Linked DNA regions of Arabidopsis thaliana. The protein of the gene in region 2 purifies or fractionates together with the protein of the main gene of each other region. This does not show direct contact. Each region holds a gene or a part of one and is shown on either strand. Other genes may lie near its edges.

Evidence for each region.
Region 1: the proteins of ETFBETA (region 2) and ETFALPHA fractionate together in Arabidopsis thaliana (co-fractionation; one large-scale study listed by BioGRID). This does not show direct contact.

The regions. Positions count from the first base shown.
Region 1 is NC_003070.9:18,877,206-18,881,752, forward strand, and holds ETFALPHA (electron transfer flavoprotein alpha), read right to left. Parts: upstream 2,808-4,547; 5' UTR 2,735-2,807; coding exon 2,633-2,734; exon of another isoform or gene 2,332-2,632; coding exon 2,149-2,331; intron 2,071-2,148; coding exon 1,859-2,070; intron 1,792-1,858; coding exon 1,628-1,791; intron 1,546-1,627; coding exon 1,387-1,545; intron 1,279-1,386; coding exon 1,226-1,278; intron 1,139-1,225; coding exon 998-1,138; intron 911-997; coding exon 833-910; 3' UTR 607-832; downstream 1-606. Other genes in the region: AT1G50930 (Serine/Threonine-kinase), read left to right, coding at 1-82, 172-243, 373-501; AT1G50950 (protein disulfide-isomerase 5-like protein (DUF1692)), read left to right, coding at 3,260-3,300, 3,571-3,661, 3,806-3,900, 4,050-4,107, 4,355-4,542. UniProt on the Arabidopsis thaliana protein: The electron transfer flavoprotein serves as a specific electron acceptor for several dehydrogenases, including five acyl-CoA dehydrogenases, glutaryl-CoA and sarcosine dehydrogenase.
Region 2 is NC_003076.8:17,451,510-17,455,611, forward strand, and holds ETFBETA (electron transfer flavoprotein beta), read left to right. Parts: upstream 1-2,007; 5' UTR 2,008-2,053; coding exon 2,054-2,215; intron 2,216-2,294; coding exon 2,295-2,579; intron 2,580-2,877; coding exon 2,878-2,958; intron 2,959-3,061; coding exon 3,062-3,156; intron 3,157-3,356; coding exon of another isoform or gene 3,357-3,363; exon of another isoform or gene 3,364-3,376; coding exon 3,377-3,602; downstream 3,603-4,102. Other genes in the region: AT5G43420 (RING/U-box superfamily protein), read left to right, coding at 281-1,408; AT5G43440 (2-oxoglutarate (2OG) and Fe(II)-dependent oxygenase superfamily protein), read right to left, coding at 3,847-4,098. UniProt on the Arabidopsis thaliana protein: The electron transfer flavoprotein serves as a specific electron acceptor for several dehydrogenases, including five acyl-CoA dehydrogenases, glutaryl-CoA and sarcosine dehydrogenase.

The DNA of each region.
Region 1 (4,547 bases), on a different chromosome or scaffold from region 2:
AGAAGAAGAAGAACTACAAAAAGGAGAAGAAGAAGAAGAAGATGAAGAAGACACTGCTTCTTCTCCTTCTAATAAAACCAAGGTTAGATATATATGAGTGTATCTTAATTTGTAGAATTGGTTTTGTTGTTTTTGTTAATTTTTCTAACATTTTTTTCTTTTTTTTAATAGATTTTTAGTGTCTTGGACCATGCTAATGATAATACAAGATATGGAAAAACCATGGACAATGTTACATCCGAGGTAATAAGAAACCCTTTATCCAACAAAAAAATAAACATTTCTTGCATGAAAACTAATATTTTCCAGAAAAAACTAAATTCGATTTTCCAGTACTAACAACAAGTTCTTTTTTTTTCCGGGAATTTATAGGAAATTGGATGCATAACAGAAACAGGATCAAAGATAAAAGAAATTATGAATGAAGAATTCTCTGCAGAATTGAAGAAGAGAGGACTTTGTGTAGTTCCTTTATCCATGTTATCTAACTTTATTGCTTGATGATTCTTTTATTTTACTCTCTAAGTTTTAACTGTTATTATTATTTTTTATTCTTCTGATTCTTTGATGTAAAATTGTTACTATGATTGATTGACAAGTAAAATGTATAGAAAATCGAATTCTTATTGAGAGTTAAACACTTTGCTTTTGTTTGTCAGACTCGTTGGAATGTTAGAAACGTGAGAGCTTAACCTTAAAGCTTATGACAAAGATTCTCCAGACCGTTTTTTATTACAGTTTTGCTATATACACTACTTACTATGGTCTGCACCTCAAAATACAGAGAGCTTAAGAGATGATAAACAGAGACGAGTTTCGGTCTCTCGGGGTCTCATTTCTTTTCTGGAAGCTTCTCCAGCAACTCCGGTATCACCTCGAAAAGATCTCCAACGAGTCCATAATCAGCTACCTACAGTTTCATAGCCAAACGTTTTTTAGAATACTTTGGTCCTAACTTAAATTGACAGAGAAGAACCGTGTCAAGTGTGTTTGTTACCTGGAAAATAGGTGCATCGGCGTCTTTATTAACCGCAACAATCACCTTAGAATCCTTAATTCCAGCTAAGTGTTGAATGGCTCCTGAAACACCAAATGCCATGTATAGCTCTGGTGCTACTATTTTACCTGTTTGCCCCACCTAAAGATGCAAACAAACAAACTCTTATTTGAGTTTTAAAGCCGTAAAATGGAAGGAATAATCAAGCGAAGATCCACCAAATCTTACCTGAAGATCATTAGGAACATATCCAGCATCAACAGCAGCACGAGTAGCGCCCACTGTATAAATGAAACAGTTATACACGTACATTTCGAAGCACATTCACTTGAGAGATAAAACAATTTCTCCACACTCACTGGTGATTAGGATAAGCATGTATAACTAACCTGCTCCACCAAGTTTTTCTGCAAGCTTTTCGATCATTTTAAAATTCTCAACACTCTTCAACGCCCTTCCACCAGTGATCACAACACGTGCACTTCCAAGATCAGGCCGTTCTGTATCCTGAGTTGAACGTCCCACATATCTAGATTTGCTGACAGAGTCTGCAGTGAAGAATAGCAAAACCATTCACAAAAAAGAACCACCGACGAAAACACGAATACATAAGAGAAACACTAAACGGACCGTCTTCAAAATTTGAGAGATCAATCTGAGAGACAGTAGCTTTCTTTGACTCTGAGTTTGCTGTAATCGGGGTGACAGGAAAAGATGTAGATCTAATAGTCAACATACAAGGACCCGCACCAGTATAACGAACTGTACACAAAGCGTTTCCCGCATAAATAGGCCTGACACAGATAAAAATCTTGGTTTCAGTTCACAGTTCAACGAGAACGAGAGAGAGTTGGAATGTACCTGATAAACTGGTCAGATCCTAAGATTTTGACAACATCAGTAATAGGAGAAACATCTAAAAGAGCAGCGACACGGGGTAATATATTCTTGCCAAATGAACTAGAGGAAGCAAGAATGTGTGAGTAATCTCCTTGTTGCCGAACAAAGTCAACCAATTTAGCCCAAGGCTCAGCTAAAGAGTACTCAAATTTATCAGAATCAGCAACAAGTACCTACAGAAAAAGTACCAACACTGAGACCACAAAACCAAAAGAAAGCAAATGAAGAGAAGGGAGAATGTTGTAGCTTACCTCGGAAACAGAAGGATGACAAGAGGCAGCTTGAGAAGCAGCTTCTTGAAGAGAAGAACCAGAACCAGCCAATAACAAAGAAATTGAAGAGCTCTCACCTAATGAATTAGCTGCAACTACTGTACTCACTGTCTGAGGTTTGATTGTACCACTCTCATGTTCTGCTAGAATCAGAGTGCTAATCTATATACAACAACAAAAATGTACACAACACAAAAGTGTTATTGTGAATTTCTCAGCATAACAACAACAAAATGATTATCTCAATATATATATATATATAGAAGCTTCACAAATTGAAAATTTTCAAACCAAGTAGAATGATAAAATTGAAATCACCACCACAAAGAATGCTCCTTTACCACTTCCGATTCATTTTTAATATGAAAAAATCGAATTTGGTCACGACGAAAATGAATGATCGATTCCAGCAAAAACAAAAGATCGAACTGAAGGAAAATGGGTAGGAGATAAAAGATCATACGCATCTAGAGAGACTGGTGATGGAAATGGATATAGATCGAGGAGCATTAGAGGCGACGAACTTATTCTTCGTCAGAGCTCTCAGTAGAACAGTTCTCGTCATCGTTTTCTCTTCTGATTGGTTTCTCTCTCCTTCAGATTTCAGAATTCTCGCAAAAAGAAAGAAATAAGCGAACTATGGCAAACGTCGTCGTTTATAACAATTTCTTATTGCTATAGGAACTACGTCGTTTATGATAAAGCTAATTGTATCATTTTTAAAGGAATTAATAATTGTTTGAACTTTAAGGATGGTCAAAGATCGAAGCTGATTACTTCATTTCCATTTGTAGTAGATTAGATTCGACAGATTTCACAACTTCCATATTCTAATTTTCTAATTTTTATGGTACGATGATGATTCCTGAAAGAGAACAAAATAAAAATCTAACCTTTAAAGGATTAGAATTCTTCCTGCCAAAAAAAAATCTGTCTTTTTGAGCTTTTTCGTGTAGAGTTCCCATAGTTAAGCAAAGTGGGATCACGACGGCTTTAAGAACAAAATCCTAGATACAGAGATAGAGAAAGAGAGCTCATTGTCAAGATCTGTTTTTTTCTTTGTTAGAATCCTTTCTTCTTTGTTACAGCCATGGTTTCAACCTCCAAGATCAAGTCCGTTGATTTCTACAGGTGGGAACCCTCTTTCGTGTAACAATTCCAATGATAATTCTCTCGATAATGGTTTTTGACGCACTTGCAAAAGTTTGTACCTTTCTATACATTTTCGACTGTATGTGTTTGATTTTGCCTTTTTGATAATTCGAAATTGGTTCTGTCTTCTCGTTTTTCATCTTGATGATGAACTGTGCATCGGATTACGGATAATTACTCTGTGAACTGTGTGTTTGTGTTGTCTGGAGTTAGAGCTGAGAGTAATTTGAGTTCCATTTGTTTCTTCAGGAAAATCCCAAGAGATTTGACTGAAGCATCTCTCTCTGGTGCTGGATTATCCATTGTAGCTGCCCTTGCTATGTTGTTTTTGTTTGGAATGGTAGTAAACTAATCTCTGCCCTGTTTTCTTCTTCTTCTTCTTCACAATCTCATATTTTCTGATTCTTGTATCTTTTGCTTCTTCCTCTGTGTAAGTGAAAAATACCGTATATCCAATGATTTTGGTTGATTATTTAACTTTCAGGAGCTGAGTAGTTATTTGGCTATTAACACTAGCACATCTGTAATAGTTGACAAAAGCTCTGATGGGGACTTCTTAAACATTGATTTTAACATCAGGTAAATGGAATTCATGTGTTAGTATTGGTTATAATAAACAATGCCAACATGCCATTGTTCTTTTCTTTTGTCTGTTTGTGTTTCAATCTCTCTACAATAGTGGCGGTGTCTTCATAAATTGATGTTTGGTTTTGACTTATTTCTTGTAGCTTTCCTGCCCTCTCATGTGAATTCGCATCAGTTGACGTGAGTGACGTGTTTGGAACTGTAAGTTTCGGTTTCCAATTCTAAGTATTTCTGTTTCTAAGATCCCATTTTGCACTGCGTGCATACATTGTCTCTTAGCTGTTTTATAAACACAAAAGGAAAGAAAAAAAAGCAAAAGTTTTGACATTATTTATTGTTACAGCAAATGTATGTTATAAGTTCTCATGCTAGGATGTTTAACTTTTGTTGTGCAATGACAATGATTATGTCATTTCCTATGTTTAAGTTTTGTTATAAACTTCTTCAGCACAGGTTAAATATATCGAAAACGATTAGAAAAGTTCCAATTGATCCGCATTTAAGAGCCACTGCTGAGGAATTTCACTCCACCTCTGATTTACATCTCATCAACCATGGAGACGAAGATCATGGTGACAATAGTACTTATGCGGATATACCCTTAACTGGTGCTGCTTTTGAGAAGTTTACACATCAGTAAG
Region 2 (4,102 bases):
ACAAATTTTCAATTTTCCCACCAATCAAATTTAACTTGTATATTCAATTCTACTTTTAAATCTTGATATAAAAGAATTCTTGTAGTAAACGAGTCACACCGATCAAGAAAAATATTAATATAATCATATAAAGAGCCCAAGAAATCTCACCGAACTTTCATTTTACTCAATCCCTCTCTCCTCTGTTTTTCTTCTATACCAATCTTCTTTCTTCAAGAACTTTCAAAGTTTACTCTTTAGTTCTCCATTAGAGGATGAGATTCTTCTTATAAGTCAGATAATGGATCTATCAAACCGTCGCAATCCTCTCCGGGATCTGAGCTTTCCTCCTCCTCCGCCGCCACCTATTTTCCACCGTGCGAGCTCTACGGGGACGAGTTTTCCGATCTTAGCCGTCGCGGTGATCGGAATCTTAGCCACAGCATTTTTACTTGTAAGCTATTATGTTTTTGTTATCAAATGTTGTCTCAACTGGCACCGAATCGACATTCTTGGTCGATTCTCGTTATCTCGAAGGCGACGCAACGACCAAGATCCTTTAATGGTTTACTCTCCAGAGCTTAGAAGCCGCGGTCTTGATGAATCCGTCATTAGAGCAATCCCAATCTTTAAGTTCAAGAAGAGATACGACCAAAACGACGGCGTTTTTACAGGAGAAGGAGAAGAAGAAGAAGAGAAGAGATCTCAAGAATGCTCTGTTTGTTTGAGTGAGTTTCAAGATGAGGAGAAGCTGAGGATTATCCCAAATTGTTCTCATTTGTTTCATATCGACTGTATCGATGTGTGGCTTCAGAACAACGCCAATTGTCCTTTGTGTAGAACTAGGGTTTCTTGTGACACAAGTTTTCCTCCGGATCGGGTTTCTGCGCCGAGCACTTCTCCCGAGAATCTGGTCATGTTAAGAGGTGAGAACGAGTATGTGGTCATTGAGCTGGGCAGTAGCATCGGTAGTGACAGAGATAGTCCAAGACACGGAAGGTTACTTACGGGACAAGAAAGGTCAAATTCAGGTTATCTACTGAACGAAAACACCCAAAATTCGATCAGTCCATCTCCGAAGAAGCTTGACCGCGGAGGGCTTCCAAGAAAATTCCGAAAGCTTCACAAGATGACGAGTATGGGAGACGAATGCATCGACATAAGAAGAGGTAAAGACGAACAGTTCGGTAGTATTCAGCCCATTAGAAGATCAATCTCAATGGATTCATCGGCGGATAGACAGCTTTACTTGGCGGTTCAAGAGGCGATTCGGAAAAACCGCGAAGTTCTGGTGGTTGGAGACGGAGGAGGATGTAGCAGTAGTAGTGGCAATGTTAGTAATTCCAAAGTGAAGAGATCTTTCTTCTCTTTTGGGAGCAGTAGACGTTCTAGAAGTTCCTCTAAATTGCCACTTTATTTTGAACCCTAATAAGCCGCTTTGCTTATTTGTTTTATTTTCTTGTTCCTTTCTACATTTGATTTCTATTATTTCATTTTCAAATATTTTTGAGATGGATTTTTAAAATTATTTGGTCGGTGAGGTAGGAGAGAATATAGACGTGTTTAGATTTAGAAGTCAAAAAAGTTGAGTTGTATTATGTGTGACAGAGAAATTATGGACAAGTTTGAAAAACTTAAAATTATTTCTTTTAAACATAAAACTCATGGAGGGCTTCACACTTCTACGTCAAAATCTCCTCCTCATATAATCAATGATATCCAAATTACAAAGAAACCATAATCTCCTTGAAAACATCTATCTGATGTTTTTTGTTGTGTTAAAGCAAACATCATATAAATTCATCTTGATTTGGATAGAACATTCAAATGCCAAAACGAAAAATACCATCCATGATTTTTAAGGATTTAACAAACTTGGTAAGTCTCTTTGTACTAAATCAGACTTTACTAGTGTTGTTGAAGTAATGGACTCTGATCCACTAAGACCTATTATGGTATGTTGTATTGTATGACCCATTTTTTCAATTATTTTTTTCGGCCTAAACCAGCCTTTTACAGAAGCAAAAGGAAAAACTGAAACCCGAGACATCTAAACCGGATTAAACCGAATACCATGCCATTTCTTTTTGATGAGTCATCATCACCATCCTTTAGATCCAGAAATCAAAATTGCTTACTGCTTCATTTGTTCTGCTGTTCCCGGCCAATGAAGATTCTCGTCGCCGTTAAACGTGTCGTCGACTACGCCGTCAAGATCCGAGTCAAACCCGATAAGGTACACGCATAACCCATCTCTAAATCTCTCTGTAACCATTGAATCACCGTTAAATTTGATTCCTTTATCGTTGAATCAGACTGGTGTAGAAACCCAAAATGTGAAGATGTCAATGAATCCATTTTGTGAGATCGCGCTTGAGGAAGCGCTTCGAATCAAAGAAGCTGGTTTTGCTAAAGAGGTTATTGCAGTGAGTATTGGACCTTCACAATGTGTGGATACACTTCGTACTGGTTTAGCTATGGGTGCTGATCGAGGAATCCATGTTGAGACCAATTCTATTTTTCTTCCTTTGACGATTGCTAAGATCTTGAAGAGTTTAGCTGATGTTGAGAATCCTGGATTGATTTTCTTAGGGAAACAGGTATGTTTGGCTCTGATTTGCTTGTCAAGTTTTGAACTTTGGTTGTGTATGCGTCAAATCTCTAGATCTTGTTTTAGTGTACTGAATCTTAGCTAAAGTTGAGGTTTTTCAGGTTTTAGAATGCAAAAGATTCGTGTTTTGACTCGTGTGTTGTGGATTGTTTAGGATGATGAACATTGATCTTTGTAAATTCTTGAAAACTGTCTTAAAATGTCTTGAATAATGTTGAGTTTGCATAATGTTTTGATGAGGTTTGATGTGAAGGTTACTGATTTATAACGTTATTTTTTTTCTGTAGGCGATAGATGATGATTGCAATCAAACAGGACAGATGGTTGCAGCTTTACTTGGTTGGCCACAAGCAACGTTTGCATCGAAGGTAACAGAGTAGTTCCCTCGACTACAATCATATGTTATCTTTTGTCTCTGCTCTCCAAGTTGTGAGTAGTTTTTTATGTGCTCTGCTCATTGTTGTTTAGTAGGTTGTGTTGGATAAAGATAAGAATGTTGCAACCGTGGATAGAGAAGTGGATGGAGGTCTTGAGACTCTTAATGTAGACTTACCCGCTGTGATAACGTAAGTTCTAGATTCTTAGATGATTGTGTCATGATCTCTCTCGAGTTGAGGTTTATATATATGCATCAACTAACCTGCATATGTCAATTTGTTCACTGCATTCTTTGTGGAACTTTTTTTGTGATCACTCAAATTATTAAGCAAACTAGCAATTAAGCTTTAATAGAAAGGTGCAACAACTCTTGTTTTGTTTGTAACAGCTCTTGATGTTACAATGCAGAACTGATTTGAGGCTGAACCAACCAAGATATGCATCACTCCCTAACATAATGAAGGCAAAATCAAAGCCTATAAAGAAAATGACGGTGCAAGATCTGAAAGTAGACATTAAATCCGACATAGAGATCTTGGAAGTCACGGAGCCTCCAAAGAGGAAATCTGGGGTTATGGTTTCTTCGGTGGATGAGTTGATAGATAAACTTAAAAATGAAGCTCATGTTGTTTGAAGGAAGAAACATTTGTCTTTTTCCCATTCTGCTACACACTTCTTTCTTCTTATCTACGTTGCTGTTTCAGGCATCAAGTGGAAGTAAATAAATAAATCAAGTGTGGATCTTGTTATTCAGTAATTCAATGTCTTCACTGTAAAAAATTCTTTCTTATTAACAAAATAGTTGATGTCCTCTCGAGCGAGAAGAGAGCAGCAAAACACACATATCTGTTTTTAACTAAGCCATACAAGTAATTTCTTCATATCCGGAACTTAGACAAATGCGATTTTCCATCGAAGATGCTTGCTAGGTATCCTACAGTGTATTCTGGTATAGTGATGTCTCTGTACTTTGCAGGGTTTTCATCAGAAAGAAGCTCTTTTATCGGTCCATAAACAGTGGAATTTGGAAACACTCCCGAGCTAACGAAGCAAGCAACTGAAATCCGCGGTCCATCTCTGTTTGCCCGTACCCTATGCTCCATACTTAAGAACTTATCGTTTGTGATCAGCTGC